4 linked regions of the Elephas maximus indicus genome follow. The protein of the gene in region 2 interacts with the protein of the main gene of each other region in a pairwise test. Links are inferred from orthologs where the notes say so. Each region holds a gene or a part of one and is shown on either strand. Other genes may lie near its edges.

The links.
Region 1: the proteins of UBE2I (region 2) and TRIM38 interact in a two-hybrid assay, tested with the Homo sapiens proteins (2 studies listed by BioGRID). The two-hybrid records come from large-scale screens. The link is inferred for Elephas maximus indicus from reciprocal best matches to the Homo sapiens genes UBE2I and TRIM38.
Region 3: the proteins of UBE2I (region 2) and SIAH1 interact in a two-hybrid assay, tested with the Homo sapiens proteins (2 studies listed by BioGRID). The link is inferred for Elephas maximus indicus from reciprocal best matches to the Homo sapiens genes UBE2I and SIAH1.
Region 4: the proteins of UBE2I (region 2) and CLK2 interact in a two-hybrid assay, tested with the Homo sapiens proteins (2 studies listed by BioGRID). The two-hybrid records come from large-scale screens. The link is inferred for Elephas maximus indicus from reciprocal best matches to the Homo sapiens genes UBE2I and CLK2.

Annotation. Positions count from the first base shown.
Region 1 is NC_064819.1:73,099,990-73,107,952, reverse strand, and holds the start of TRIM38 (E3 ubiquitin-protein ligase TRIM38), read right to left. Parts: upstream 3,002-7,963; 5' UTR 2,912-3,001; intron 2,836-2,911; exon of another isoform or gene 2,684-2,835; intron 2,523-2,683; 5' UTR 2,285-2,522; intron 695-2,284; 5' UTR 549-694; coding exon 138-548; intron 1-137. UniProt on the Homo sapiens protein: E3 ubiquitin-protein and E3 SUMO-protein ligase that acts as a regulator of innate immunity. Acts as a negative regulator of type I interferon IFN-beta production by catalyzing 'Lys-48'-linked polyubiquitination of AZI2/NAP1, leading to its degradation.
Region 2 is NC_064830.1:58,455,819-58,463,476, reverse strand, and holds the start of UBE2I (SUMO-conjugating enzyme UBC9), read right to left. Parts: upstream 3,014-7,658; 5' UTR 2,874-3,013; intron 1-2,873. UniProt on the Homo sapiens protein: Accepts the ubiquitin-like proteins SUMO1, SUMO2, SUMO3, SUMO4 and SUMO1P1/SUMO5 from the UBLE1A-UBLE1B E1 complex and catalyzes their covalent attachment to other proteins with the help of an E3 ligase such as RANBP2, CBX4 and ZNF451.
Region 3 is NC_064839.1:7,688,448-7,696,222, reverse strand, and holds the start of SIAH1 (E3 ubiquitin-protein ligase SIAH1), read right to left. Parts: upstream 3,001-7,775; 5' UTR 2,744-3,000; coding exon 2,653-2,743; exon of another isoform or gene 1,928-2,652; intron 653-1,927; coding exon 1-652. UniProt on the Homo sapiens protein: E3 ubiquitin-protein ligase that mediates ubiquitination and subsequent proteasomal degradation of target proteins.
Region 4 is NC_064821.1:193,168,975-193,176,043, forward strand, and holds the start of CLK2 (dual specificity protein kinase CLK2), read right to left. Parts: upstream 3,013-7,069; 5' UTR 2,723-3,012; intron 1,162-2,722; coding exon 992-1,161; intron 221-991; coding exon 1-220. UniProt on the Homo sapiens protein: Dual specificity kinase acting on both serine/threonine and tyrosine-containing substrates. Phosphorylates serine- and arginine-rich (SR) proteins of the spliceosomal complex.

The sequences.
Region 1 (7,963 bases), on a different chromosome or scaffold from region 2:
AACTGTTTTTCAGAAGAATGACACAACGAAAGCTGCACTTCCGGATCATAATCTTGGGTTTCAGACTAAACAATCTCAGGTCTTGGAGAACAGCATGAGACCAGGCCTTGGCGAGCCTCTCTGGCCCCCACACTCACCTTGTACCCCTGGCTTACATCTTCGACAAGAGCCGTGGTGTGCCCTTTGTGCTTCGGTGCCCGCTCACAGCGCCAGCAGATGAGCTGGCCCTCATCTTCGCAGAACAGGTGGAGTTGCTCTCCGTGTTCTTCACATACCATTTCACAGTTCATCTCCTTGATGGCCTCAATGAGGCTTCCCAGCTGCTTGTTGGGCCGGACGCTCGCCGTTTGAAAGGGGGCTCGGCACTGAGGACATAAGAACTTCTCTTCCTGTGGTTTCATGTGCCTTATGTTCTCAAAGAAGCCCACTATGCATAAGTGGCAGTAGCTGTGTCCACAGCTGATGCTCACTGGGTCAGCCATCAAGTTTAAGCAGATGGAGCAGGTGGCTTCCTCCCTCATCTTTTTTGCAGGTGTGGCTGAGGCCATGGCTTTTATTAAAAACCTTGAACAGTGGATCTAGAAGCAGAGATAAAGCAGCCAGAATTTTCAACAGTGATGGAAATACACCTCACATGAGCCTCTGTGTGATGAGTTGGCTGTCACTGGACTGCACGGGTCTTAAAGTCTTCTTTCTAGAGAGAAGAAATGGACTAGAATCTAGAAGATGCATAAACATCTAGCTGTGTTGTCTAATATGGTAGCTATTACCACATATAGCTGTTTAATTAAAATGAAATAAAATTAAAATTCAGTTTCTCAGTCTTAGTAGCCACATGTGGCTGGTGGCTATATGACAGCCCAGATCTAGGACATTCCATCAGTGCAAAAATTCTCTTGGACCAAGTGCTGAGACAAATAGAGGAGTAAGGAAGGTGTCCTCACAGAAGTTGCCCCAAGAGAGAGAAATCAGTGAGGGAGTGTGAAACTTTCACATCCTAGTGAACATCAAGAATTCTCTTTTTGACTGGTAGCAACACTGGAGTAATTAAGTGGTCTGTGAAGTTTCTAGGAAACCCTGGTGGTGTAGTAATGGTTAACTGCTATGGCTGCTAAGTAAGAGGTGGGCAGTTCGAATCCCCCAGGTGCTCCTTGGAAACTCTATGGGGCAGTTCTACTCTGTCCTATAGGGTCACTATGAGTCAGAATTGACTCGACAGTGGTGGGTTTGGTTTTTGGTTTTGTGAAGTTTCCATTGACATAATCAAGTTTGAATCCCCCACGCCCAGATCTCTCTACCCTGCCCTCACTCCAAGATGAAAAAAATTCCGGAGATTAATAAAGTCTCAGTGGAGACCCGCCAGGGGAATATGAAAATAACCAAGGCAACTAGAAGAACCGGTTTGTCCTTTTTCCAACCTCCCTCCTGCTACTTCTGGGAAAAAAAAAAACAAAACCCAACCCCATTGCTGTGGAGTGGATACTGACTCATAGCAACCCTACAGGACAGAATAGGAGTCTCCACAGGGTTTCCAAGGCCGTAATCTTTACAGAAGCAGACTGCCACATCTTTCTCCCGTGGAGCAGCTGGTGGGTTCAGACTGCTGATCTTTCAGTTATCAGCCAAGTGTTTAATCATTGCGCCACCAGGGCTCCTTTCATGGTACTTAGGGAGAGAGTACTAGAAAGAGAGATAGAGAGGGGAAGGGTTAGTCTGGGGAGCAGAGCTCCCAGAGAACTAGGGCCTTGACTGTCCCTTCTCCAGGTCAGGACTGCCTCCCAGAAGTCCAGGGTGATTGGAGCACAGGGAGTTCGCAGAACTTGTGGGCAAGCGTGGCCAGGACGTGGGGGAGGTGGGAAAGGAGGCAGGTGGGGGCAATCAAGCCTCTGTGGGATCCCTGGTGCTGGACCCCCTAATGTCCATCAGTAAAGACCCAGCCACCAGAGACAGCAAAGGAATCTGACCTCTCACCCCCTGCTGCAGCTGTTTCAGGAACCTAGTCCTGTTTCCCTCTTCCCATCCCTGAGAGTTTGGGAGAAAAATCGAAAAGTGACCTTTCCTTTGAACTGACTGAGCCTGGAATTAAAAACAGGATTTTGACTAAAGTTAACAGATCTATGGAGCCCTGGTGGCGCAATGGTTAAGAGCTCAGCTGCTAACCAAAACATCGGCAGGCAGTTCCAATCCACCAGCCGCTCCTTGGAAACCCTATGGGGCAGTTCTACCCCGTCCTATAGGGTCCCTGTGAGTTGGAATCGACACAACTGCAATGGTTTTGGTTTACCGGATAGGTGTTTTCCCTCTGATAATCAGGACCGTTCTCTTGGAGCCACACAGAGTGTCATCTTGGAGAATTCTATTCCTCGGCAGATGATTTCTATCAAAGGATACACGAAGCCCCTCTCTGCCCGGGCTGCTGCGCTGCTAGGGAAGAAGTGCCTCCCCTCTTCTGAAGTCCCAGGGTGCTGTCCTGGCCTTCAGTCACCTCACAACCCGGATCTTCTGAAATGTGGCACGGAGGGCTGGTGAAAGAGAAAGGAAACACGAGTGAGAGCTATAAGGAAAAATTCTGACGATTTTCAGATTTGGAGAGGCTCTCGCACCACGAAGCGTACCTACCCCACCCCTCACCCACACACACACATTCACACACGCAGAAATCATATCCCTCCACCAAGAAAACCTGGGCCTGGGCCTTTCCCAAGTTCGTTGCTCCACAGCCGACCGTCACATATTCCCTGCTAGTCCCCTCTGTAGCGGCCACTTTCGGAGTGTGGGTAGAGAAGTTAACTCAGACCGGGTTAAACTCAGAAGTGAAACCACTGTGGAAGGCGGAGCCCCAAAAGATCCCGGAAGGAAACAGTGAAGTTGAAGTGGAGGGAAAACAAAAAAGCTAGCTTTATAAACTTACTTCCTCAAAACGCTTCTCACAGCAGCGCTCAAGGGAGGGCCCAACGTCCGCTGGCAGGAAGACTTGCTGGGTCTGAGCACTCTGATTAACTTTGGCAGAGACAGATCCAGAAAGTAAAGCTCGTCCTCCGAGGCAGTTCTGAGCCATTCGGTTTGGGACTTTCGAATCCTGGCAGTTTCTTGAATTAGCAGTTTTCCTTTCACCGGTGATGTTCCTGAGTTTCAGTTGGTTGCATCCATGGGGCTAGATGTAGGCAGGAGAATCCTTCCAGGGAATTGGGCAGGGAAGAGTTCATCTGAGAAACAAGAGTCCAGTTTGGGATATCTCGACCTATTCCCTGTTTGTTTTTCCTGAAACACAGCTCTTAACAAGCTCCTCAGATAATAGCTGAACAACTGCACCCCCGAGCAATTACAACTCTACCGGTGCTATTTTTATTCTTTTAAAGCTCAGCTTTCTAGCACCTAGAAAGATTAACCGAGGCCTCCAGAGCTTTACGCAAGGATGCCCCAGCGGCCTCTCTCAGACTTCACACCTACCCCTCTCCCCTCTCTCACTCTGCCCAGCCATGTGGCCTTCTTGCTATTCCTGGAACTGGCCAATTAAACCCCCCTCCAAGGTCTTTGGGAATCCCTGGGTGGTGCAAGTGGTTACCTGCTCTTCTGCTAACCCAAAGGCTGATGGTTGGAGTGTGCCCAGAGGTGCCTTGGAAGAAAGGTCTGGCAATCTACTAAACAATCAGCCATTGAAAACCCTATGGAGCAGAGTTCTACACTGACACACATGGGGTCGCCATGAGTTGGAATTGACTTGATGGTGACTGGTTTTGGTTTGACCCAGGTCCTTTGCACTTACCATTCTGTCTTCCTGAAATGTGCCCTCACCCTATAGTTACACAGTTGGCTCCCTCACTTAACTGAAAGCCCACTGCCATTGAGTCTATTCCGACTCATAGTGACCCTACAGGACACAGTAGAGTTCCCCATAGGGTATCCGAGAAGTGGCTAGTGGATTCGAGCTGCTGATTTTTGGTTAGCAGCCTTAACTCTTAACCACTGCTTTAGTTTCCTGTTAAAGGTCACCTTGTTAGAAAAGTCTTCCCTGACTCTCTGCTAAAACCAGCATCCAACTTTACTCTCTCTACCCACCTACCCTGTTTTATTTTTCTACCTAGCGCTCATCTAGCTAACACAACAGTGAATTTGTTTATTAACCTGTCTCCACTTAATAGTCTGTTCTGTGAGGGAGGTATTTTGTCTTGTTCCTGGCTGTGTCCCTGTCATATAAATGAACTAAAGATGGCTTCTGTGGAATGGCCCCAAGTTGTTTACTTCTTTATAGGAAGTTGAGACTCGTTAGCCCAAAAAAAGCCTGCTGGCACCAAACTCAAATATCCAAATATTCAATTGTTTCAAAAAAAAAGTCCAAATAAGCAGATTTTTAGCCACCTAGAGCCTGCCTGCTTTACATACCCCGTACAACTGCAGCCAACATCTGCTGGCCTTGTAGTTATGAGACTACAAAGATGCTGCTGCCTTCAGAGCCCTCTGACCCAGAGACCACCCAGCTTGTTGCAGGCGGACATCACATAGGAACACATAAACTACCCCCTTCCCTTTCACGGGGTTTTTCGTGCCGTCTTTCCTTAAGGTGCCTCTGGCAGACCTTCTGCTGTGGAGACCTCCGCTGTATGCAGCTGTTAATACATTGGCCCCAATAATCTCTTGCTGCATAACACTGCTATCTAGTAATTATATATTTTTCCTTGATCAGTCCTGAATTCTCTCGACTTCACTACAATCCCCTATGCTGAAATAAACTCATTGCCTTCCAGCTGATTCTGATTTACAGCAATACTCTAGGACAGGGTGGAACTGCCTCATAGGGTTTCCATGGCTGTAATCTTTATGGGAGCAGACTGCCACGTATTTCTCCCACGGAGCCCCTGGTGGGTTCCAAACTTAGAGTGTAATAGATTCTCAGTAAATATAGGGCTGCCAGACTTAACAAATAAAAATAGAGGAAACCCTGTTACATTTGAATTTCAGATAAATGACAATTTTTTAGCATAAGAGTGTCCCAACTATTGCAAATTAAAAAAAAAAAAAATTTTTTTTTAATTAAAAAAAAATCTGAAATTCAAATGTAACTGGGAATCCTGTATTTTGTCTGGCAACTCTAAATTCAATATTTTGAGACAGTAAAGCTATCACATGCCTTTGCTAAAAAGGTTAGTTTATGAATGCTTCGAAGGTCAGTGGAGCAAGGGCGGGGGTTTGGGGACTATGGCTTAAGGGGACTTCTAAACCAATTGACAAAATAAATTCTATTAAGAAAACATTCTGCATCCCACTTTGAAGTGTGGCTTCTGGGGTCTTAAATGCTAACAAGCAGCCACCTAAGATGCATCAATTGGTCTCAACCCACCTGGATCAAAGGAGGATGAAGAACACCAAGGTCACAGGATAACTATGAGCCCAAGAGACAGAAAGGGCCACATGAACTAGAGATTCACATCATCCTGAGACCAGAAGAACTAGATGGTGCCCGGCCACAACCGATGACTGCCCTGAGAGGGAGCACAACAGAGAACCCCTGAGGGAGCAGAAGAACAGTGGGATGCAGACCCCAAATTCCCATAAAAAGACCAGACTTAATGGTCTGACTGAGACTAGAAGAATCCCTGCAGTCATGGTCCCCAAACCTTCTGTTGGCCCAGGACAGGAACCATTCCCGAAGACAACTCATCAGACATGGAAGGGACTGGACAATGGGTTGGAGAGAGATGCTGATGAAGAGTGAGCTACTTGTATCAGGTGGACACTTGAGACTGTGTTGGCATCTCCTGTCTGGAGGGGAGAAGGGAGGGTAGAGGGGGTTAGAAACTGGCAAAATCGTCACGAAAGGAGAGACTGGAAGGAGGGAGTGGGCTGACTCATTGGGGGAGAGTAAATGGGAGTATGTAGTAAGGTGTATATAAGTTTAAATGTGACAGACTGACTTGATTTGTAAACTTTCACTTAAAGCACAATAAAAATTATTTTTTTTAAAAAAAAGGCTAGTTTATACTTTGGCCATACAGTTACAGCTGTGGGAGGGGTGGAGATAGAAGCAGATGTCCATCTTCTGTGCTCTGGTGCTTTGGTGTGGGTGTGAGTCCAGCTGGTGGCAAGTGGAAATCCAGAAGACAAAACCAAGAGAGCGCCTCTGAGATGGATCAGTAGAAGAGCGTAGAAGGGACTCCTACAACATGGGAGCCAGCAGATTTTTATTAAGCATGTACTGCAGTAGGCATCATGCTAAGTGCGTGGGAATAATTCACATTATCCAGAGGGAAACAGATCTCAGCTATACCCAGTGCCGTCAACATCTATATCTCAGCTATAGGTGTTAAAAAATACTTTTGAAGGTAAAGTATGAATCTCACACAGATATAAAAATGATCGTGTTTTAAAGATTTTCTTTATTCATTGGTTGACACATTATGGCTTCTGGATCAAATCTAGCCAGTTGTTTTTGTATGGCTCTAGAGCCAAGAATGCTTTTTTTTCAAGTTTGTAAAAGATGATACAATAAAAAACAAAGATTGCTAAGTGAGGAACCTTTATTTGTCTTCTTAAATAAAGACAACATAAAAAAAAAAAAGACAACATAGAGCAAATGAAATTATTCTGGAAAGAGAATATTTGCTACCTAGGCAAATTAGAAAGGAAAAGAATAACTGTTCCTATTTTAGGCAAAAGCAATAAAAAATAGGCCAAGGAAACAAGCCCATCATAACTGAGCAAACTTGGCTAACATTTTAACACATCTCAGAACTTTTCAGTCAGGTATTACAAGCCAACACAAATAAAATTCATTTCTACATTTTGTCCTTTGTTATACTCTTTCATATTCTGGAGCAAATTGACACTTTAGGACAAATCTCAGGGTGTCCATAAGGTCAGAATTCATGTAATAATATTGCTAAGATGTTATTAACATGCAACGTGTTCAGCATTGCTCTCTTTGAATGAATTAAAAATAAGCATTAAAAAATGTCTCATTTTTTTAAATTTCCAATGCAGTAATCATAAATAGTTGTAACCTACAAAGTAAAAGCTCTTTGGGATCCTCAGAAAGTTTGAAGAGGCTTGGAGACCAAAACAAACAAAAACAAAAAACTCCCCAAAGATGAGAATCATTGCTTTAAGGCAAAATTACTCTTTTCTTTGAAAAAATAGCATATACATAGTTTTGTTTCTCTGAAAATATTGCTCCTAAATTATATTCTCTCAGAAAACCCTGGTAGCATAGTGGCTAAGAGCTACAGCGGCTGACCAGAAAGTCGGCAGTCCAAGTCCACCAGGCGCTCCTTGGAAAGCCTATGGGGCAATTCTTCTTTGTCCTATATGGTTGCTGTGAGTCAGAATTGACTCAATGGCAACATGTTTGGTTTTGTTTTAAAAATGTTCTCAAACACTTATGTTAATTATAACTTTTAGCCAAAGTCACTTTCATTTCACACAGTAAATAAGGTGGTGGATAATTGAAAACTCAGTTACATGTTTTGGCAGACTAGCAGAGCTCGTGAATACACACAGCACAGCTTTATACAACCTCACACACCCCTTATACAGTTTCTCAAAGTAGCAAAAACAAGCACTTCATTAACATGGCCCCAAAATACAGTCTTTCTATAGAACATAAAAGAAACACAAGAATATAAACTTAAAATTGTGCTAAGTAATCAATGTTCCCATGCTGTATCTTACTTAGAAATGACCCAGGCATCCAATGTATATCCATTGATTAACTCAATTTAATATCAGTTCAAGGTTTTAAGTTACCTAATGATCTTCATGCAGACATACTACGTAAAACATAATTAGTATTGAAATAAAATTTGTCAGCATCGTGAATCAATTTGGTTACACACAATTTTACATTTTTAATAACCTTAACATTAATACAAGTAATGCTAGATTAATTGATCAGCAAAATCTATATAAGTTGAGGAGGAACATACCCCAGTAGAATAAAAACGTACAGCTGTGTTATACTTAACAAGGA
Region 2 (7,658 bases):
AGGGCTGGGGCCGAAGTAAAACTCAGGAGCTGGCAGCACGGCGATCCTGGGAGTCCCTGTGCCGGACCTGCCACAGCCTCTGCTCCAATAATGGAACAGAGCTGCCCAGGGAGGCCCATCCTGGCGCCTCTGACCATGTGAAAGATAATAGGGGCAGTTCTGCAAAGTCTCAGTGCCAGAGGTGCCTGTAAGAGCCCAAGAGCCCCTCTTCCCACCCTGATGGACCAGATCACACACAGAAAGAATGCTTCAGCATCAAGACAAAGAACTAAAGGTGCAAACCCACCCCCATCCCAGGCAGAGGTTGGGCCCCCAAGATCCGCCCGTCCGTTCCTAAAACCACCACTGTCAGGAGAATGCAGGCAATTGTTACATCTTTAATTATAACAAGTAGCCACGATCCTAATCCCACTTAAAATCATCGAATCTACCTTCCTCAATGCAAGGAAACTCAGTTAACGAGTATTAAGCGTTACCAGGCACTTCAGAGCAGGACGGTTACGATGCAAAGGCTCTCACTGTGAAGTGCTAGAGACAGGCAGGGTAAAAAACACCCCACAGGGCGGACCCCAGGCAGAGCCTCCAAGACCTGCACCTCCACCATCCTCCTGGGCTTCCAGCGGGGCTGTGCCTCTTAACATGGCTCTTCTCAGATGAGGCCTCGCTAGCTGAGAACTTCACTGCTACTTCCTGGCTGTGGGAGTGAGGGCAAGGTTCTTATCTCTCCTCAACCTCAACTGACTCATCTGCAAAAAGGGTGATAGCCAGGGCTTTTCCATCCCAGATACACTGAACCAGAATCCACATTTAACAAGATCCCCACATGATTTTTATGTATAACTTCCTAGGAACTCGAGATGCAAACTCTCAGCAGGAAACTTGTTAGAAATGCAAATTCTCAGCAGTGGCTGGTTTAAAGCCCTGGATTCTACTAAAGATGAAACAGATAAAGAAAAAACAAACCAGCAAACCCAAACCCACTGCCTTGGCCCTTCTCCATCCAAATCCAAAGGCTTCCAAGCCTGGGACTCCCATGTGGGACCAGGTGGGGCATAAACAAAAGCACCCACCTCTGCAGGCCCAAGCACCCGGCACTCAGGAGAACCTCATGCCTGGGCTGCACCCCTCCAGTTCTTTCGTGGATCTACCTCAGGACCCCAGGCTGTCTCTGAAGCAAGGTCCCAAACCTCGAGACACAGCTGACAAACCCAGTATTTCCACCCTGGCACATGAGGGTGCAGAATTCATTGCTTAACCACTGAAGAGGTTTGGGGTCGGATTTCTCTGTAGAAAAATCAGAACAAACACAGGATCAATCTCTGCTTCCAGTTGGATAGGTCCTCCATGCCAAAGCAACATTTTCTTAATGCAGTAAACCTGCGAAAGCCGGAACCTGTGTAAGGTGGAAACCTGTCAGAAAAAAAGAATTAAGAATATTTTTCACTAATAAAAAAAACAAACCCATTGCCATCGAGTCAATTCTGACTCACAGAGATCCTACAGGACAGTAAAACTGCCCCACAGGGTTTCCAAGGAGCGCCTGATGGATTCAAACTACCAGCCTTTTAGTTAGCAGCCACAGCACTTAACCACTATGCCACCTGGGTTTCACTAATAGAGAACGACAAAAAAGTGGTGACTGCACACTGTCGAAGGCAGAAAACTTGCGAGACCAGGAAAAACAAAATAGTCCTGTCAAGTTCCAGCTCTCACAGATTCTCCTGTAGCAAAAAACATTTAGGTGAAACATCTTTAAAATAGAAATAAAAAAAATACAGTAACTTTGCAAACTGAAGAACTAAACATAATTTAAGATTACAAAAACCAAAAGAGTTGATTTTGGGATTTCAGGGTGACTGGAGGCCCCCAGCAAGCGCCCAACTAATCACTCCCTTCCCTTGCTCCTACTCAACTACCTACCAGTTCCAACCACCATTTAAGTGGTACAAAACAATCTTAAAAACTCTCCCTAAAGTGAGGCGCTCATCTTCAGACTCCCACCAACTCCACAACACGGACAGCCGCTACAGCAGCAAGAAAACTTAGCCTTGTTTTGAGATTTGAAGACACCACAAACAGCATCCCCCCGTGCCTCCCCCACCAGGGGCCCGCGATTTTGCAACGAAAGACTTTCAACTCCCTGCTGTCCATTCTGTCCCTGGCTGGAAGACGCCAGACGTTTGCTGTCCATCCCTGTGACCCCGGAAATTAATTTCCCCAAAGGTAAAGGAGCGCTTCGGGTTGGTGCGGCCGTCCTCCAGAGCCGCATTCCTGTCAACACCGGCCTCAGCTCTCCCAGCTCCGGAGCTACGGGCTCCTTTCCGCTCTCCGCGCGCCACACAGCACCTCTGCAAGGCCGCCTGGCGCACCAGAGAGAAGGATGTTCCCCCCTTTTCAGGAAAGAAAGTGATGGGAACTCCAGGAGCGCGGCCGGGACGTGACCCCAGAGAACCACGGGGACGCTGTCCACCCGAAAAACCCCACGCTGGGAACGAAGGCAGGACGGCCCGGAAGCTCATCCCGTAGCCCGGCAGCTCACAACTCGGCGAGCAGAATTAAGTTTCGAAGCACAGACAACCTTCCCTCTCAGCCCCTTCCAGAAGGTGAGAGAAAGCCCAGCCCCGTCCGCCGCGGACTGCGGGGTCCCGACCGCGGCCCGGCATCGGGGAGGCGGGCGCTGGGCGGGCGGGCGCGGGAGGGGTAGGCCGCTCGCCCGCCCTAGGACCCCGCGCCCGACCCCGGCCAGGCCCCGCAGTCCGCGGCCTCCCCACCGACCCTACGCGCCTGCCGGCCCGGCGCCCCGTGGCCCAAGCGCCGCCCGGCCTGATCCGGCCGGAGGCTCCCGCGGTCTCCGCCCTCCCGGCCGCGCTCACCTCCGGCGGCCGCGGCCCGGCGAGTCGCGAAGAGCGGAGAGCCTTGCGACGACGGAGGCGACGGAAACAGCAGCTCTTCTCTTTGTCTCGGGACTTCTCTCCCGAGCCCGCTCCGCGCGCAGCCTGAGCAGCTCCGAGGACCCCGGCGCGGGCGGGGCGGGGCGGGGCGGGGCCTGCGCAGGGCTGCCCGCCGCGCGCCCGGCCCGCGCGCAGCTCTTGCAGCCCCACGTCCCGCGCCGCTCAAACTACCGTGCGTCCTCTGCCGCCTGCGGCCGTCCGCCGCGCGCCCGCGGCCCGGGCCCTCCCCGGGAGCCCGGTCTGGCGCCGACTTTCCCGTCAGGCGAAGGCCTAGACACCTGCGCCCTTAAAGGAGCCGCGTCCCCAATTTGAGGGAGCGTCTAGAAACTCCTCCTCGGGAAGCGCGCGTCCACCCGAGGACACGCCAGCAAGCAAGGGGGGAAATGGGAGACAGAGATCGCCAAGAGCTCCCCGGATGCCCGGCGGATACCTCTCCGGGCATATATCCTGGGGGTCTCCTTGGGGTCAAGGTCCGGCGCTGGCGGGCAGAGACCACTGAGGCCTAAGGAACCCCCAAGCGTCGCAGGACGGTGACGATCCCCCGAATACAGAGCCCTGTGAAACCTCTTGCGATTGGCCAGTTCGAGACCCTGGCCGGGGCGTCCCTGGAATCTTCCCAATGAGCTGAGGCCGTACAGAAAGCCGAATGCTTGGAGGATCGACGGGAGGGTAAGTGGGGATGGTCCCTAACCTGGGGGCCGGCCCTGGGTGGGGGAGGGGCGCGGGACCGCGGGCTCGTAGGGGAGGGGAGGCGGCGGCAGCGGGGGAGGGGAGGCCGCGGCGGCGGCAGCGGCAGCGGGGGAGGGGCGCTGCCCGCAGGACCCCGTTCCGCGCACCCAGAGTCTAGTTCTCGAGTCTTCGGTGTTTGCAACGAATGAAAGTATGGAAGTTTCGCTCGCAAACAAGTGGCCCTGCTGCGACTTCATCCCTCGTCGGAGTCGTTGTAGCCTCTCGTTCCCAGCAGAGCCCAGCGCCCCGAAGCCGGCTGGGCTTCTGAGACCGAACTTCACAGAGGGGGACAGGGCACCTTCTTCAGGGTTAACTCGCCTCCGGACTGTAATCCGAGGCGCTTTGGGGTCAGAAGGGACAGATGTTCTCAGAATCCCCCCTCCACCAGGTGTCAGCTCCGAGGACGGTGGGGGCTTGTGGGCTGGATGGCTGGGAAGGGGAGGCCAGCCGAGGAGGGGGAGGGACGGCCTGAGGTGCTCTACTGTTAGGTACTCTTTTATTCTTCTTTTCTACCTCTTTCCCTCCTTTTCTACCTCCAGCCTTTCTCTCCTCCTTTCCGTTCCTTCCTTCCCTCATTTTTCTCTGCCCTTCTTCCCTTTTTCTTTCCACCCCCAGTCGTCCTTCTCTCCTTCCTTCCTCCAGAGTCCCCTGGCTGAGGTTGTCGGGTCCCTGAAGTCTGTGGTCCACCTTCCTATCCCCTACAGCGCCCTCAGTGGGTGCTCCGGATGAACCCCATGCACTCCATCCATCCTATTGCTCTGAGGAAGTAAATGTGACTGGAGAGAAGTCCTAATCCAGTGTGACTGGTGTCTTTATAAAAGACAAGAGACACAGAGGGAAGATGGCTATGTGATCTGAGAGGCAGAGACTGGAGTGATGCATCCACAAGCCAAGGAGTGCCTGGGGACACCAGAAGCTGGAAGATGCAAGGAAGCATCCTCCCCTAGAGCATTCAGAAGGAGCATGGCCTGTGGACACCTGGATTTAAACTTCTAGCCAAACAAGAAATTTCTGTTGTTTTAAGCCACGAAATTTGTGGTACTTTGCTACCAAAGCCCCAGGAGACTAATGTCACTTGTCTTTAAAGTCCATCCTGACTCATAGTGACCCTATATGACAGGACAGAGCTGCCCCATAGGGTAATTTCTACCAGGAGCAGATTGCCAAATCGTTAATCCCGTAGAGCTGCTAGTGGGTTTGAACCTCGGACCTTTCTGTTAGCAGCTGCTTAACTCTTGTCATCAAGGCTCCTTAAGAGACTAGTACAGCCAGTTAAATTAGAATTTCAGATGCTGAAACCCACTGCCATTGAGTTAATTCTGACCCATCTTGTTGAGGGTCTTTCTCTTTTTCACCAACTCTCTACCAAGGATGATGTTCTTCTCCAAGGACTGATCCTTCCTGATAACATGTCCAAAGTATGTGAGTTGAAGTCTTGCCATTCTTGCTTCTAAGGAATATTCTGGCTGTACTTCTTCCAAGACAGATTTGTTCGTTCTTCTGGCAGTCCATGGTATATTCAGCGTTCTTCGCCAACACCATAATTCAAAGGCATCAATTCTTTGGTCTTCCTTATTCATTGCCTAGGTTTCGCATGCATATGAGTCGATTGAAAACACCATGGATTGGGTCAGACACACCTTAGTCCTTAAAGTGACATCTTTGCTTTTTAACACTCTGAAGAGGTCTTGTGCAGCAGATTTTCCCAATGCAATGCATCTTTTGATTTCTTGACTGCTGCCTTCATGGGCATTGATTGTGGTTCCAAGTAAAATGAAATCCTTAATAACTTCAATCTTTTATCCATTTGTCATAATGTTGGTTATTGGTCCAATTGTGAGGATTTTTGTTTTCTCTTACCATTAGTAATATGTATTGCATGTAATGTTGCTGCATGTAATTTGCTAATGTTATTGTTCTCAGATGTTCACTCTAAAATGTTCAGTTTTATGATTGACTGTTCAAAGCAAGCTATGGCCTGGTCTACAGTGAAGTCGGTATTGGTGTCTGGAGTCTTAAAAGGATAGAAAGCTGAGCAATGTTCAGCTCTAAGGACACACACAATTGAGCTGCGTTAGCGCCTGACAGCGGTTACAACTCTAGCTTCATTGTTCTGACTCTGATGCTGACTTCATTGTAGACCAGGCCTATGGTGTGATCTTATTCAGCATCTGGTACCATAAGAAGCATCAGTTGTTAATCTGAAGTTGAGTTGTTCAAGTTTCTCTAACTCACACTTGTACTGCTTATACCCCCAACAATATGTCTAGTAAAAGAAGTCAAGCCGCTGAAAGTTCTAATCCAAAAAAGAAGGTGAGGAAGGTTCTAGACATGGATATAAAAATGAAGGTCGTTAAGGCCTGTCCAATAATGAGGAAGTTGTCAAAAAATTTTACAGTGAAAGGATTAGCTGACTTGTTTTCTGAACTAAATCATGGTCTTCAGTTGCTTGACAACATGGACCCAAATGCTGATCGCTCTGCTAAAGTCGATAGGCAGATTTGGGAAGCCGAGATACGTTACCAGGAAATATATGAAGAAAAGGACCATACAGACTACTCTCACTAATTTTCTGACTAGAAACGACATCTCCATTCCCAGATATAATCCAGATGATCCAGAACCTTCCACAAGTGAGTTACCACAACTGACAAAATGCCAATGTTGTCCAACTCTTCTTCGTAGGAGTAAATTTTTATGATTTGTGTATTTTTTGTATGTATTAAAATATATCTGTAAGTTTACATGTATGTTTCCAACCCCCAAAGAGAAATAAAGATCAGATTTATAAAGATACTGATAATAAAAGGCAATAATAATGAAAACTAAAAAATTAGGTATTTGATTTACATCAGGACTGACTTATGACTAAGTTGTTGGAACAGAACCATTTTAAGTATGGGACTACATGTACAGTGAAATCTGTGAGAGCTGGAACTCGACAGGCCTGCCTCATTTTTCTGGGTATCGCAAGTTTTCCACCTTTGACACTTTTGTACCACTCGTTTTAGTGGGAAATGTTTGAGTTTTCCTTCTCTGACAGATTTCCACTTTACACAGGTTCTGGCTTTTGCAGGTTTTATTGTACTAATATTCCTTATTCATCTGAAACTCAAACTTACCAGGGCATCCTGTATTTTAATTTGCTAAAGCTGTCAATCTACTCTTCATCAGTTTTACTGCAGAATATTAACGGGTTTGGCTATGACAGGCTGTCCAGACCTGTGTGACCTGGCCCAAACATCTTACCCCAGGGCTTGCAGGTGAAGGGGAGGACCCACGAGTCTTGTCTCCCAGCCAGCAGAAGACAAAGCCCAGGAGAAACGCACGGGGGGGGGGGGGGCCTGAGGAGGGGCCCTGAGCAGGTGAGGCCTGGGGGAGTCAGTTCCTGGAGGCAGAGTCTCAGCTCATGCCTCAGGTGGGACACACGGGGGAGGGCCTTGTAGGCTGCCCCTTCCCAGGAGGGAGCCTTGGAGAAGGAGGGCCCCACCTCCCCAGAGCCCAGCTCTGGATGGGAGGGAGTGTTCATCTGCAAATTAAATGAGTAAACTGGGCCTCCAAGGTCACCCCAGGGAGGCGGCAGGCTGGGGAAGGCTGGACCTGAGCCCACCATCCCCTCCCAGTCTCGTCCTCTGCCCCCAGGTCCAGGTGCTCTCTGTCTCCTCCTCCGAGATGCTCTCCAGCCCGAACAAGGACACACCCCTGACCTTTGAGCACTTGCCCTGCCCTGCAGCCCAGCACAGCACATGGAGACTTTCACAAGTAGCCAGGACACTGACCCACCTGGGTCCAGTGCCTCCTACACCCAGCTCCCCTTCCAAGCTCCCTCTAATCTCCAGTGGACTAGTCTTCGGTGGCCTGCCAAAAGAATGAACAAATCAATCTTAGAAGAAATACAGTCAGAACGTTGTTCAGAATCGAGGATAGCAAGACTTTGGTTCACTTACTTGTACATGTCATCAGGAAAGCCAATTGCTA
Region 3 (7,775 bases), on a different chromosome or scaffold from region 2:
TGCTTGCGCGTTCCTATCAGCTGTACAATTGCGAAGAACTGCTGGTGGCCGTCGTATTTTTCCTGTTTCTCCAAGACTAACATGAAGTGAAAACCAAAACAGGACTGCATCATCACCCAGTCAACAGCACCAGGAAGATTAATGTCTGTAGCCAGGAAAACGATGTCCTCTCCCTGCAGGGTCGTGATGGACTTGTGCTGATGCATCAGGTGGGGCATGACAGCATCCAAGGAGCCCTGCCACTTACAGGAAGCACCGGGGCACGGACAGGAGTAAGGCCGAAACTCACAGAGCTCTTCGTGGTCTGCTTTTTCTGTGTGTGGCAGAGTTATTTCACATCCAGAAGAGGCGTATTTACAAGGGAAAAGTACTGAATTGGCCACTTTCTCCATAGCCAAATTGCGAATGGACCCCAAAGGGCCCCGGCAAGTCGGACAGCACGTGAGCTTTGGGCGACAGTTGCTACAAACAAGGTGGCCACTCTGACACTGCAGAATGGGCGGTAACACATAGTCAAAGCAGACTGGACACTCAAAAAGGCTCGCCAGGTCATTGTTGGATGCGGTTGTGCCAGTCAAGGCAGGCACCCTCTGGGATGGCGTACACTTTGACGTACCAGTAGGTAATGCTGTGGCGGTCTGACGGCTCATTTCTGTAAAAAATAAAAACACAGAAATAAAAATAGAGTTACAACTGTCATTTGTTTTGCAAATAATATTTACATGCCAGAAATTTTTTTACTATAAGGAGAAGAACAAAGGAAAATAAATAGGGTTAAATTATACTAAATATGCATTCTGATCATTAAGGGTCCTACTGTTTTCAAAACGCTCCAGGATATGTTTAGGATTGCTTTTTTAAAAAAAGAAAAATGGGCTTCACTGCCAATTCCAAAACCACATGGAATAAGAAATGAAATGCTGAAAGAGAAACTGAACTGTAAACAACTAGGAAACACCATACGAGCAGCTTAAGTCCAATCACAAATCCTCCCTCTGAATTCAGTTAACCCCACTCAGTCGCTTTCCTTTCAGCTGCTCATAGTTATAGGAGTTACAGGTGAGTCCGACAGCTCAAATGCCAAGGAACCACCAGAGTACTGACATGAACGCTTCGAAGGGTGAACAGTGTTTGTTCTAGTGGTATATTTGGAGGATGAGGAGAGGCAGTCCTGAGAGGAAGGGCCTGCTGCCATCCCAGCATCATCTAAGAGAGCTCCCTGAAACACTAACATGGCTAGGTATAATCCTGTCTCCTAGGGGTCAGTGCCCTCCTCAAAAACGAGAGCCGACAGGAGAATGGAAGGGCCATCCTCAATGAGTTTAACATAAATCACTCTGTTCATTCCACATCAAAAAATATAAAAGCACCAGAGAGGCACAGAGAACACTGGCGATGGGGTAAGGATTCCTTGCACCCTGAGGTTCACCTGTGCTGCCGACACACTTGTTAGCAGTGTAATAGTAAACATTATTGAAGAACTAAATGTTACCTGGGAGCAACGATCAACAGTATACCTAGTCAGCCTAGATCAAAAACAAGCACCTTTCCCCAGGTATCTACCTTTGCCAGGATATGGCAGGTCACTGTCTAGGGGGAGGGATGATGAAGATCAATCATCTGCTCCTGTCCTAAGAATGCCGATAACTCTACACTAAGGTACAGCAAATTTACTGATTCCTCTCAGTTATAACTGTTACTCCATTGCAAAGAATTTATCTTTTAAGAAACAATGCTTGTTACCAATATGACCAGGTAAATACGATTTGGGGTCTAGATTACTCAAATGATTAACAATAGATACCTTAAATGCAGGTTAAGGGTATTAAAAAAAAAAAAAAAGATCAATTCCATGGTTAATAAGAGGATATCCTAAAGTTTGAGGGGAAACAGAAGCACAGCAGAATCCCTTCAGAACGTGGCTCACCTGAAGCCCTGACGTTCTATCCCAACATGGGGACCAGAGAGCTCTGTCAGTCAGTTCCCCTCCATGTAGGCTCTTTGCGCATCTGATGATCTACCCACTGTCAGGTGTAAGACAACGGGCTTAGTACTGCCACACAACACCCTAAAAGTCGCGCCCGCTGAACAACAGGACACTGCGGAGTGATTGCTTGGGCAGAAAGCAAGGCCAAGCCAGCAGGGGCTTTCGGGTCACTAAACCAATACAACTAAGGACATCGAAGGCCCGTAAACTGAAATTGTAATTTAACATAATAGAGCTACCAAGCAAGAAAAACACTGTTGTTCAATTGCTTGACCTAGTTCGTTATGCATTCACCGATAGTTCACGATCATGTTACAACAAATTATTTTTCCAAACGTCGTAGAAGGTACAATTTGTATTCCTATTCCAAGTGAAATGTGGTGGAGGTGTTACAGAGAAGTAGCTGCCCAAAACCCCAGAACTCCAAAGGTGCGACCCAGTCAGTCCCCAGCCATACAGCAGCTTTGCAGTAAGCACCAAGGGCTCAACCGTCTTGACAGTCCTGCAGAAGTTACAACAAAACCTCAAGTTTGATGTAAAACGAGATCAAATGGAACGTCCCGGCTAACCCCGGGAAGCGCTGTTATCATGGTGGGGCTGATCCGGGCAGACTCCACTGACTTGACAACATACAAGTCCCACAATGTAAGCAACCCAGCCAGTACCTTTTCTCTCCCTTGTCCTAGCTGCAGGCAGACAAGGGAACAAGCCTCCCCCCAACGAGTAGAGAAAAGGCAGGGCAGGTTTCCCCGCCATGAGAAGTCAGGCTGCTCACGGCGCGTCCTCATCACAGAGGCCCCTCCGGACACCCCCTTGTGTTCCCAAGCCCGGAAGACTCCAGCTCGAGCCCGAGATCAGGTTCTACAGGAACAACGGCAGGTGTCCTACTCTGCACAGGCACGAGGAATCAGAGTTTCCCACCCCGAGCAGGGGCGACCACGAGCAGGCGCGACCACACTCCGGGCTCGCTCTAAGTCGCCTGTGTCTCCAAACACGGGCGCATCGTTGAGCTGCCCGCGGCGCCCGAAACCGTCTATCCCGGGAGCCTGTCCTCCCCAGACTCATGAGTGGGGCTCCCGCCAAGACCGGGCAAAGGACGGGCCTACAGGGGTGCGCAGAGGTGGCTGGAAAAGGAAGTGCGCTCTCCAAGTCCGGAGCTTCTCCAGGGTCCACCCCACAGGGAAAGAAGAGCCATTTGTAGGCGGAAGCTGCAACGCCCGAACCGTGATGCCGAACTCCAAGCTGCGGCGCCGCCGGCCGGCCCAGTCCCCGCCGCACCCAGGGAGGTGGCACCCAGGGAGGTGGCCGTGCCACAGGGACGCGCCGACGCTCCTCCGCAGGCCGGGCGGAGCCACGGGGACGCGACGACGCCCCGCCCACTGCCTCTCCGCACTAGGGGCGGGGCCTCAGGTGTGCGCACGCTTCAATTAAAACTCCTGCTTTAACCTCCAAACGGCCCTTGTAGCCTCTTGCCACGCTGGGAAAGCCAGCTTACACTGCCTCGTTCAACTCCCAGCGGCCAGCTTTGTTTTTAAACCACCACGTGCCCTGCCGCAATGAAGCCTTGGGCATCCGACATCACTGCATCAGGCAGCCGTTCAGAGGTCTCACCTGTCACCGCACCACGCTTAGAAAAGGCTGTTAACCAGTCACTGTAGCGTGGTGGTTAAGTGCTACGGCTGCTAACCAAAGGGTCGGCAGTTTGAATCCGCCAGGCGCTCCTTGGAAACTCTATGGGGCAGTTCTACTCTGTCCTACAGGGTCGCTATGAGTCGGAATCGACTCGACGGCACTGGGTTTGGTTTGGTTTTTAGTATAACGCTTAGAAAAGCCTGTTAACCTGTCACTGCATCACGCTTAGCAAAGCCTGTGGAAGCAGCAGGACCAGGAACCCCGGGCGGTGAACGCAGACTGCTCACTTTTCTGCAACCAAGTTTAACTTATCACCCCTTCCCCCAAATCGTGGGTGCAAGCACTTCAAACTCATTATTTAATATTAGGCTACACAAAACATCATTAGGAATATATAGGAAATATAACCAGAAATATAGCCCATTTCCCACATGCAAATATAATTACTATTACCTGCATTTTTACTTTCTAATACCCATTCATTCTAGATAAGTCTTAGGGATACAGGGAAGACTTCAAACGTTTTAGGCACCGACACTTTTCCAAACGTAATTAATAATTCTGTATAAAATTAACATCTAAAGTAAGCTGATGGCTCCCAAAGGAGCAGCACACACCCCTAGAGCACTCTGAAAACAAGACAAACCCCTCAATCTAGAAAAAGTGGGAGAGTTTTGGAGTCAAACTTGAATTCAAATCCAGGCTGTAAAACTGGGATAATACTTTCAGCCTCACAGGCTTTTGTCTAAATTAAGGGAAAATGGCTAATTTATGTACATTATGCCCACTAACAACATCAATTCCGACTCATAGCAACCCTATAACAGGACAGAGTACAACTGCCCCATAGGCCTTCCAAGGCTGTAATCTTTAAGGCAGCAGGCAGCCACATCTTTCTCCCTTGGAGCAGCTAGTAGGCTCAAATGGCCAACCTTCTGGTTAGCAGCTGAGTGCTTAACCACTGTACCACCAGGGATTCTCTACGTACATTATAAAAAAAAACCCAAACCCATTGTCATCGATTCGATTCCGACTCAGAGAGACTGTACAGGACAGAAAAGATCTGCCCTATTGAGTTTCCAAGGAGCACCTGGTGGATTCAAACAGCCAACCTTTTAGTTAGCAAACAAGCTCTTACTGAATTCATTTTTAGCACAATAAACCTTAGTAGAATTTCTCAACTATGTACAATATTTTTTTACACTAGAGCTAGAAAAATTCATAAAAACATTTCATTAAGGCAAGCACACAGAACCCAAAGTTAGCAAAAATTCAAAACTTAACAAGAGTTTGCTATTACCTACCATTTCTAAGCCTACATTTCAATCAAACCCAGTTAGGTATAAAGTTTAAATGGATTTTAACCTAAATCAAAACATATTAGCATCTTATTACAGTCAGACCATTTAACTATTGCTCTGCCATATTAACATAAAGCAGAAGGAAGAGATGGATTTAAACTTTTGTTCTCAATTTCATGTGGCAGTTATTTGTTTCCTTTTATAAATGACTAAGAATTTCTCTGACTTGTCACAACCCAGTGCCTGGCTACTCTAATTAATCCACGATGTTTTGCTTACCCTTTCCTTTTAGTTTACAAATGTTACTGTGCTCCCCCAAGTAATGCCCCCTCCTTCCAAAGGTGTCCATGTATTACAGCAGCAATATGAAACTAATGGTTACTTAAAATTAAAAGCTTAGAATGAAGAAAAGTAGTCAGACATGGGAAGAGATCACGATGTTATCATAAAGCAAATTGCAAACCAAACATTCCTAGAAATCACACAGTGAGGTTTATAGTAAAATAAAATTACAGCTGTCAGATTAGTGATCACTGGGTTAAACTGAATCCCTCAATCCAAAACATCTAGGGCTTTCCTCCTCCTCTCAACTCTTCTTTGTGAAAAGGGCGCTTCTACATTTGGATGATATGGTGATAGCTGGAGTCCCTGGGTGGTGCAAACAGTTAACACATTCAGGTGCTAACCAAAAGGTTGAAGGTTAAGAGTCTACCCAGAGGCACCTTGAAAGAAAGGCCTGGAAATCTACTGCTGAAAATCAGCCAGTGAAAAACCATATGAAGCACAGTTCCACTCTAATGCCCACGGGGTCACCATGAGTCAGGGCCAACTCCAAGGCAACTCGTGGTGGGGACAGGTATCACAGCATGTACAAAATGTCGGTTAAATTATAATGCTAAAAAATGCTTCTCTTCTCTGACAAAAATTAAGGCAAGTCTCAAAACTTCAACAGCTTAACACACGAAGTCAAAAATCAAACTTCGTTATAAACATAACAATGTTGAGGAAAACGAATTCACCTGTTTTTAGTTTCCAGACCTGTGGCAAAGTGATGTGGTATTTTTTTTTAAGTACTATGTATTTTTTCTCCTAAAAACTCCTTTTATTTTTTTTTTTTCCTGAAAATAATCCTCAGAACTTTGTGGCTACAGAAGAAAAGTTATGTGTCTAATAAAAGAGATGATTTGAGTGGGAAAAGCCAGGGGGGCAAAGGACCTGATACGTGATAGAGGTCTGAACAAACATGATAATACAGTAAAGGAAAGGGAAAACCCCAACTCAAGTGTGTAGAGCAAAGTACATTTGCTTTTCACGACCCAAAATCACCACACTCTGAAGCTTCCATGCCTGCTAACACCAGTAAGCATCAGTTGCCATACAGTAGATTCCAATTCACAACGACCCCATGTGTGTCAGGCGTACAACTGTGCTTCATAGGGTTTCCAATGGCTGAATTTTTGGGAAGCAGATCCCCAGGTCTTTCTTCCAAGGTGCCTCTGAGTGGACTCAAATCTCCAACCTGACCACGTATTCTGCCAAAAGACAGCATATACTTACTCAGCACCTGTTAGGTACTATGCAAGATGCTGAAAAATGCCAAATAGAAGTGAGATGCCTGTGCAGTGTCTGAGAGGAGCTGTCATAAGGCAGCCGATATACAAAGAGGGACAAGGTTGGAGATTTGAGTTGTTGGCATACAGATGACATCTGAAGACACAGAGAAGAGGAGCTTGCCTAAAATTAGAAGAAAAAAAAATCCAACATTTAAAGTTTCACTGAAGACAGAGGTAATCACCCCTAGACGACAATAATTTTCAAACTTCACTGTGCTCACTAACCATCTAGTGGAGCCCTGGTGGCACAAATGGTTAAGTGCTCAGCTGCCAACTGAGAGGCTGTCAGTCGAACCCACCCAGTGGCTCCACAGTGGAAAGACCTGGCCATCTGCTTCTGTAAAGATTACAGCCAACGACACCCTATGGGGCAGCCCTACTGTTACCTGGGGTCACTGTGAGCTGAAAATGGCAATAACAGTAATCATCTAGGGATCTCGTTAAAACACAGATTCTGATTTAGTAGGCTGAGGTGGGCCTGAGATTTTTAACACGCAAGCTCCCAGGTGTGGCCAACGCAAGTGACCAATTTAAGTAGCAAGAGCTGAGAAGGACATCCAAAGTGGGAGAAAACTAGAGCCTAATATCTCTGAAGCCAAGGGAAGATAAGGATTTAGGAAGACAGGCCTATAAAAACTCACATCTGTATCAACAGAAGAATGAATAAATATGATTTTATTATATTCTTGTAAGGAATTTGTGTTATTTCTGTAATCGGATAAAAAAAATTAAGAATAATAAGCTGACATGCTTAATAAACATGCAAGAATCCAAGGAATATAGCACCCGTGAGTCCTTCTTAAGAAAACTACTTGAAGAAATCACATCAGCTAATTCAGAAATGGATTTTTATAGACTCAAGTCAGTCAACAATACAGAACTAACCCTGAACTGTGGGTGTTACAATTACACATTAGAATGCAAATGCTATCAGCCTTGGCAAGGTACAAATAACTATACAAATAATAAAAAAATCACACGGTAAAGGAGGAGAAAACATAAGGGCAAAATCAACCATGAGGAGTCAAGTAAGATCAGGCCTAAAAGACGTCCCCGGGATTGACAATGGGAGGTCACTGGTGACCTTTGCAAGTGCAACTCTGGAGATAGGTTGGGGTGGAAGTCAGCCTGCAGAAGGCTGGAGGGAATGATGTGTGAGCCCAAGCCTCAAGAGTGGCTGTGAAGAGGACTGAAGGCCCAGGGGATTTGTTTGGTTCCTTTTTTAATGGAGAGGTCAGGATA
Region 4 (7,069 bases), on a different chromosome or scaffold from region 2:
GTGGCTGAACGTCCTGCTGCGTCTCCTCCGCCGCCTGTGCTTCCTACGGCTGCTGCGCTGGCTGCGGTAACTGCTGTTCTCCCGATGGTATTCGTATGAATGCCGGTAGTCTGCGTCATAGTAGGCCTCTCCCCGATCTCGGCTGTAGTCGTTGCGCCTGTAGCTGCCACAGTATCGCCGGTCATACGCCCTTCGGTCAGATGAACGGTCGTCATAGCTGCTATGGGACAAAAAAAAAAAACATCCATTAGGTACATGTGTTCAAGCCACATTTCTGCCATGTGACAAGATCCTCCCTCAGTAAGAACAATGAAGAGTAATGCTCGAAAAATTGCCCCCAGACACCTATTATGGTGCTCCAAGCGGGCCAAGAACCAGAAGCGTGAGCTGACTAAATGGGAGGATGCCCACACCTGTATGTCACCAAGGCCTCTGAAAAGATATCTGCAGAGTACTCACTCTCTCTGGGGGTCTCCTCCTCCCCTCCAGTGATACACTGCAATAGTCATTTCTTTCTCCAGCCTCCCCAACTGAAATCCAGCCTTGCTCCAAACCATTCCTGAATACTGCTGAAATTATTAAAACTATATAGACCCAACTTTGTCTTGCTTATTAAACCATCAGCTACCTCTAGCCCCCAGGCCTCTGCACATGTTTTCCCTTTGCCTGGGACACTTCTTCCATTTGACTCCTATTAGTCTGATTCCTATTCCAACTGAAGACACGCTTAGATGTCACTTTCTCTGGGAAATCCCCTGAACTACACATTTTATCTCACCCAACCAAACCTGCTGGTGCTTCCTCAGCCCAGGCTCTGTACTTCCCCTATGATAACAGCTATTACCAATGCAGTGCAAATGCTTTATTTTGCTAGCCACCTTGAACATCATCTCCACCCAGCTGTTCTGCACAATGCTCTTAGCACGGAACCAGTATGTGTTTTTTGAACAGTGCGTGACCTGAGATTGAGTTTCTCTTCCTGAGGCCTCACCTCCGAGAACGGACGTGGTAACTGTCTTCCCGCCGGTGTCGCCTTGTCCGGTCACTGCTGCTCGACCAGGAGCGGCTTCTTCGTCTTTTATGCTTTCGGCTTCTATAGTGTTCATGGTAACTCCCCCGGCTGCCTCGCTCTGAGGAGTGGTACCTTCGGGGATGAGGCATCTAGAAAGGAAGGAAAAGAAAAAATAGTGGAGAAAGCTCCCATCAAAGTTCCCCTCCAAGGACCCAGTGCTCCAGAGATCCTAAGGGCCTTTCTGCTCTTTTATCCCTATTTCTTTTTACCACCCACAACTTCTGCAGTCTTTCTCTGTGCTTACAATTTCTCAAACTTAAGGTACACATTCACCTACTAAATCTGGCTGAAAATTCTAATAGGCTCTCCTCCCATCCCACAATTACCCCATCTCTACTCATTCCTCTACCCTGCTTTTCCTCAAACATGGCTCCATGAAGGCCCTCAGGTCTGGGCCACAGCTCTATTACAGGTGAGACTGTGTGACTGACAGAGACCGCCACCCTTCATCCTTGGCTATGACCCAAGACAGATCTGTGCCAACAGGCTCAATAGACATTAGCTTTACTGTAATTGTTCTGACAAAGGTTTTATAGTCCTTAAGTATCTTATCTCCATAAAGAGACCATCCATGTCCTGAGGGCACGAATCCAGTTTTCCAGGTTTCTACACATAGCAAGTATATACCAAATATAATCAAGTTTCAAGAATCTGGGCCTGGCCCCTTGAAGTATCTCTGCCAAATCCCCTAGAGAGGTTTTAATGTCAAGTCTCAGCTTCCTACCTGGCCCCACCCCTCTTGTACTTGGGAAGTAGAGAATAACTGGTTTTTAATTAATATTAGCACTACTTGGCCTAGAGCTAGCTAGCTACCTTCAAGTTATTTGGGGATGGAACAGCATGGTGCACAGATCTTTTTTTCTCTTCAGGGAAAGTCACAGAGAAATCACTGTCACATTCCAGAAAGAAGGGAAGAGGAGGGCAGAATGAAATGAGAGGGTCCGGGGACAGAAGTCTCGGGTGGACATGGGGTTAGGTGTAGAAAAAGCTAAATGACACCAACACATGACACCCATTCCTGGCCATTTCTTCCCAACCTTTTCGAATTAAAGAGAGTGATAGCTGACTCAGTCCTACTGTAACAGAGCTGAGAGAAAACCAAGAAAATGCGAGCAAAAGAATACCCCTGGTTATCCAACCTTGCTTAGCATAAGTGCCATCTCACCACAACCACACTGCCACCAAGGACGCGCACAGGCCTTTTCTCCCTAGAGCATATCTAACCTAGGATCTGTCTCAACTTCTAAATCTTTTTTCCCTTTCTCACTCGAAAAATCCAGAACTCACTCCTAGAGTCAGACGCCATATCCTCAAAGTGACAATCTATGTTGTCCTACTCCTCAGCTTAGTCCAACTTCGCTATTCTACTCTTTCTCATCTCTGGAGCTTCTGTCCCTACTCCATCACCCCTTCTCCTACTCTTGCCTCTCCCAAGTTTTCTATAGGCGTTCTTGGATATATATAAGGCAGACCGACCTGCTTCCACCTCATCTCTTTACTCCCCACCTCTGCAGCTCTGCATCCTCCTCCCAATCTTTGCCCCAGTCCCTTGCCCCCAATCCGGTCCTATCCCCGCCCGCCCCGCAGGGCGCGCCCCCGCGTTCGCCATCTTTCCGCACGGCCCCGCGGTCCGCCAGCCCGCGCGCTCACCGTTCTGGCGGCGAGGCCCGTGCGCTTGTCCCACAGGAAGTCCGTGATGGCGGCGGCACTGCGGCCGGAGTCCCGGCACCCCCGCGGCGACGAAGTGCGGCTCCACCCCCCCGACCCGGGACCCCGGGACCTCCCGCCCCGTTCCCGGGCTCCGCTCCAGTCCCGCCCGCCCCGGTTCCGTTCCCGCCCCCAGGATCCGGTCGGCGCCGCTCGCAACGCCCCAGCCCGGGGCCCGATCCCCGCTCAGTCTCCGGCTCTGGCCTTTCCTCTCCGCTGCCGCCACTGTGAGCGAGCACGTACGCACGCACGCACGCCCTGCGTCGCCTCCCAGCTACCCCTGGGTTCCGCCCCAGGGCCGCGCACGCCGCCGCGTGCTCACGTAGCTTGCAGCGCCCGCCGGTCGGGGCGGGGAAAGGCGGGGGCGGCGGTCCGTGGGGCGGGGAGGGGGTCGCAAGACGCGCTTGCTTACCTGCCAAGCCGGCTCCACTCGAAGAGGTCTGGCTCTTCAGTCCTGTGCCGTTTTCATCCAGACTGCTGTAGCTTACGTAGTTAGGTTGGAGATGTAAAATAAAACAAAGTGTTGCCGCTCCGCAAACCTTCTGACTCTTGTGAGGCTTCGTGGTCAGCTCTGTTTCTCCAAGCCTGAAAACATCCGGTGCTTAAAACATTTTGCCTACCTAAGCCCAGGAAAGAGGGGCTTCGACCTTTTGTCCTGAGCAAAGTTATGCACATGTGGCAGCGGGGGACATGACCGTGGAGGAAATGTTTCAGAAATGCAGGGATGGAGAATCAGATATCCTAAAGAGGGAAATCATTTGAGAACTGTATCTTAACGTGCTTTACACATAATGTGTGAGAAGTATAAATTTACTGAATTGAAAAAATAGAGCAGAAAAGAGAAAGACCTTAAGACAAACCGGGAAGGGTCAGAGACGCTATAGAAGAAATTGAAAAATGGTCAGAAAGGAAGGTTGAAAGGGAAATGAAAGAATAACCTGAGGATTGCCTTATTAAAATTAAAGAATATAAGAGGGGGGCTGGGATAGGGAATAGATTGAGATTAGACCAATTATACGTAGAAACAGTTTAGGAGAAGAACTTTTGTAAAATAGGGGAGGAAGTGTAATTAAGGCGTTGGGATGAAGGACTGGAGAGTTCACTTCCTCCTCCATGAACACCTTTCCCAGACCATTTCTTCAACAAGCCTTTACTGAGTGTCTACTATGTGTCCAACATCATGCCAGGCGCAGGATTACTGTTCACCAGACCTTCACAATCTAATGGCACAGACAGACCTGTAAACAAATAATGGTGAACATGTGACAAGCACTGTTATGAACAGTGGTGCCCTGGCTGCTGTAAGACAGCTCTAGTCTAGACAGACCCTAGCAACTGTCAGATCTACAACCGATCATGGGTATGCTGCAGGACCCAGCAGCATTTTGTTTCACCGTGCCTGGGGTCACCATGAGTAGGGGGCTGACTCAGGCAGCTAAAAACAACAGTCTAGACCCTTCCTGGGGAAGGAGAGTTGAGAATGTGTTTCTGGGTTTCTTAGAAGAGCTGAGATCTGAACCAACTGGTGGAAAGTGAATTGGAGGAGAATACCTTCCGCAAAGGCTGGAGACAAGACAGAACAAAGCATTTCAGGGAGCTGCCAGGATTTCTTGGTTCCTAAAAAAAAAAAAAAATTTTTTTTTTTTTTAACCAAAAGGTTAGGGAGCCCTGGGTGGCACAGTGGTTAAGCGCTTGGCTGCTAACTGAAAGGTCAGTGGTTTGAACCCACTAGCTGCTCCACGGGAGAAAGATGTGGCAGTCTGCTTTGGTAAAGATTTATATAGCCTTGGAAACCTTATAAGGGCAGTTATACTCTGTCCTAGGGTCGCTATGAGTCAGAATCGACTCGCCGGCAGTGGGTTTGGTTTTTTTTGGCTTAACCAAAAGTTTGGAAGTCTGATTCTACCCAGAGGCCCCTCTGAAGAAATGCAGAATGATAATCTACCAGCCATTGAAAACCCTGTGGAGTACAGTTCTACTCTGACACATGTGGGGTTGTGTAAAAATGGTGCTTAGGAGGCATCTGACCTCCTCTAACTTCACAAGGGGGAGAGGGTCATTGTCAGCATCAACAGCCCAAGGCTGATTCCTACATGGTGGAGGTCAAACATACCACCACCCTCCAACCTTTTACCAATTCTGATACCAGCCGTCCCTCGCAGGGCACTCTCTACTGTTCTGCTGTGTCCAATAATTCCTTGCAATAGCCACACAGAACTCACTGACCATACTCACAGTTAGGGGGTTGATTAGGGCAGTAAGAGTTTATAATTCACGATACAGTTCTTAGATCAATCAAGACAGCCTCTTCTCAGCCATGCCCACAGGTAGGCCTCTCTTTCTCTTGGCCCCTTGGCCCAGCCTCTACCCTGCTTGGGCAAGTGTTACAAAGCTCTTTAGCTCCTCCAATACATGCCTGGAGGTACTCCATTCCACCAGTAAGCCTTGGCCCGAAGGTGCTTAACTCTCTTGCTCAGTGGGTCAGCAAGCCTAGTTCCACCAATAAGTGCCTGGAGGCACCCCACTCTACCAGAAGGTGCTCTGCTCGAAGGTGCTCAGCTTTCTTGCTCTGTGGGTGACCAGGAAGCTCACTGTGCTGTTTCCTGCCAGTCTCCTGGTTCTGCTGCTTCAGCTGCCGTTGTTTCTCTGCCACTGCTTCTCACTGTCCTGCCGTCTCTGGTGTTACAGGTCTCTCTCTCTGTCTCCTGGGTCTAGGAGGGCCTCAGTGCAGGGATCCTAGGTCCAAAGGACACACTCTGCTCCCATTTCTTCTTTTTGGTGGTAGTCAAGTCCCCCCCCTACTCCACCTCTGGGATAGCTCATTTTAAGCCTAGTGGAATGGCAAAACTGATCAATTCCCTCATTAGGATTCCATACACCTTATTTGCATGGTCCCAACCCCACAAGGGTGCCATGCACCTTATTTTTATTATTAGCAAGGTGTCCTATCCCCTTGGAGGGCTACAAGCTCCTTATGTGTGTAGTCATGCCCACTTATTTGTTGTGAGTTACAAGACCATGGCTAGAAAGGCCACATAAAAGTGATACATTTCACTGCAGTTTGTCAGGAGTTGGAGTCAATTTGATGGCAAATGGTGGTGGTGGTCGTAGTAGCAGCATTTTAGCATGATTGAAACCCTGGGTTTCAAGAGAGGGATTGTCAGATGTTGTTGAAACTAGGTCCAAATATTGCAGGGCTTTGTATGCCATGCTAAGGAGTTCAAACATAATCCTATAGAAGGTGGGGAATTTTGAAGGACTTTAAGCAAGGGTGTGATACAGCTACATTTGGATTTTAGAAAGGTAACTCTTGCAGAGTGTGAAAAGAATTGGGTTGAGAGAGCGGTTAGAGACCCTTTTAGAGGTTTCTGAAATTAGGTAACAGTGCTGAGGGCTCGAAGTAAAGCCACACTGGCAATAAGAAATGGAAATGAGAAGAGTTTGAGATATTTAGGAACTTATACCACTTAACATCCCATGTTGTTGTTGGGTGCCGTCGAGTCAATTTTGACTCATAGGGATCCCATGTGATAGACTAGAACTGTCCCATAGGATTACCTAGGTTGTTAATCTGCCACCAACTTTTCCGTTAGCAGCGAAGCGCCCTTAACCATTGCACCACCGGAACTCCTTGAATGTCCCATTGCGCTGTAATTTACCTGTTCGCGGGTCTGTCAGCGGGCACAGACAAGCAGTGTCTGGATGGTTGGAACTTTCGTATTCATTTTTCTATCCTCAGCATCCACTCAGCGCCAGACAGAGTCGCCCACGGTGAAGGTAGGCAGAATGCATTCGGAAATGAAATACGAGGGGGAGCAGCGTGGAGAAGAGAGCTGAGAGACAGAAGGTGAAATGCAGGAAGGCAGAAGTCCATGGAGGAGGGGGAGGAAGAAGAATCCTAAAAGCTATTCCCCGCCTCTCCCACTGGGGCCCAGTTCCTCGTCGTCCCGAGTCTCCTGAGATACAACCGGCGTCCGGTTTTCCCGCCGCATGCAGGCGGCTCCACCCGCTTGGCTCTCCGTGGATAAAAGTCCTTAGATTCTAGGCCACGCCCCCTCCTTGACCCCGGCTTCGCTTCCCCGCCCTTCTGTCTACGAACAATTGGAGAACCGCCTCTGTTTTGCGAAGCCACGCCCTCCCGAGTCCTCCGAGGCACGTGCTCCACTGGCCCCACCCCTCCCGGGATGGCGCGCCGCCGGCCCCGCCCCCGCCCACCCGGCCCGGCTTTCGCGCAGCCCTCGCCAGGGGGCGCAGCGCAGCCGGCCGGCCGCCCGCCCTCGAGTCTGTCGC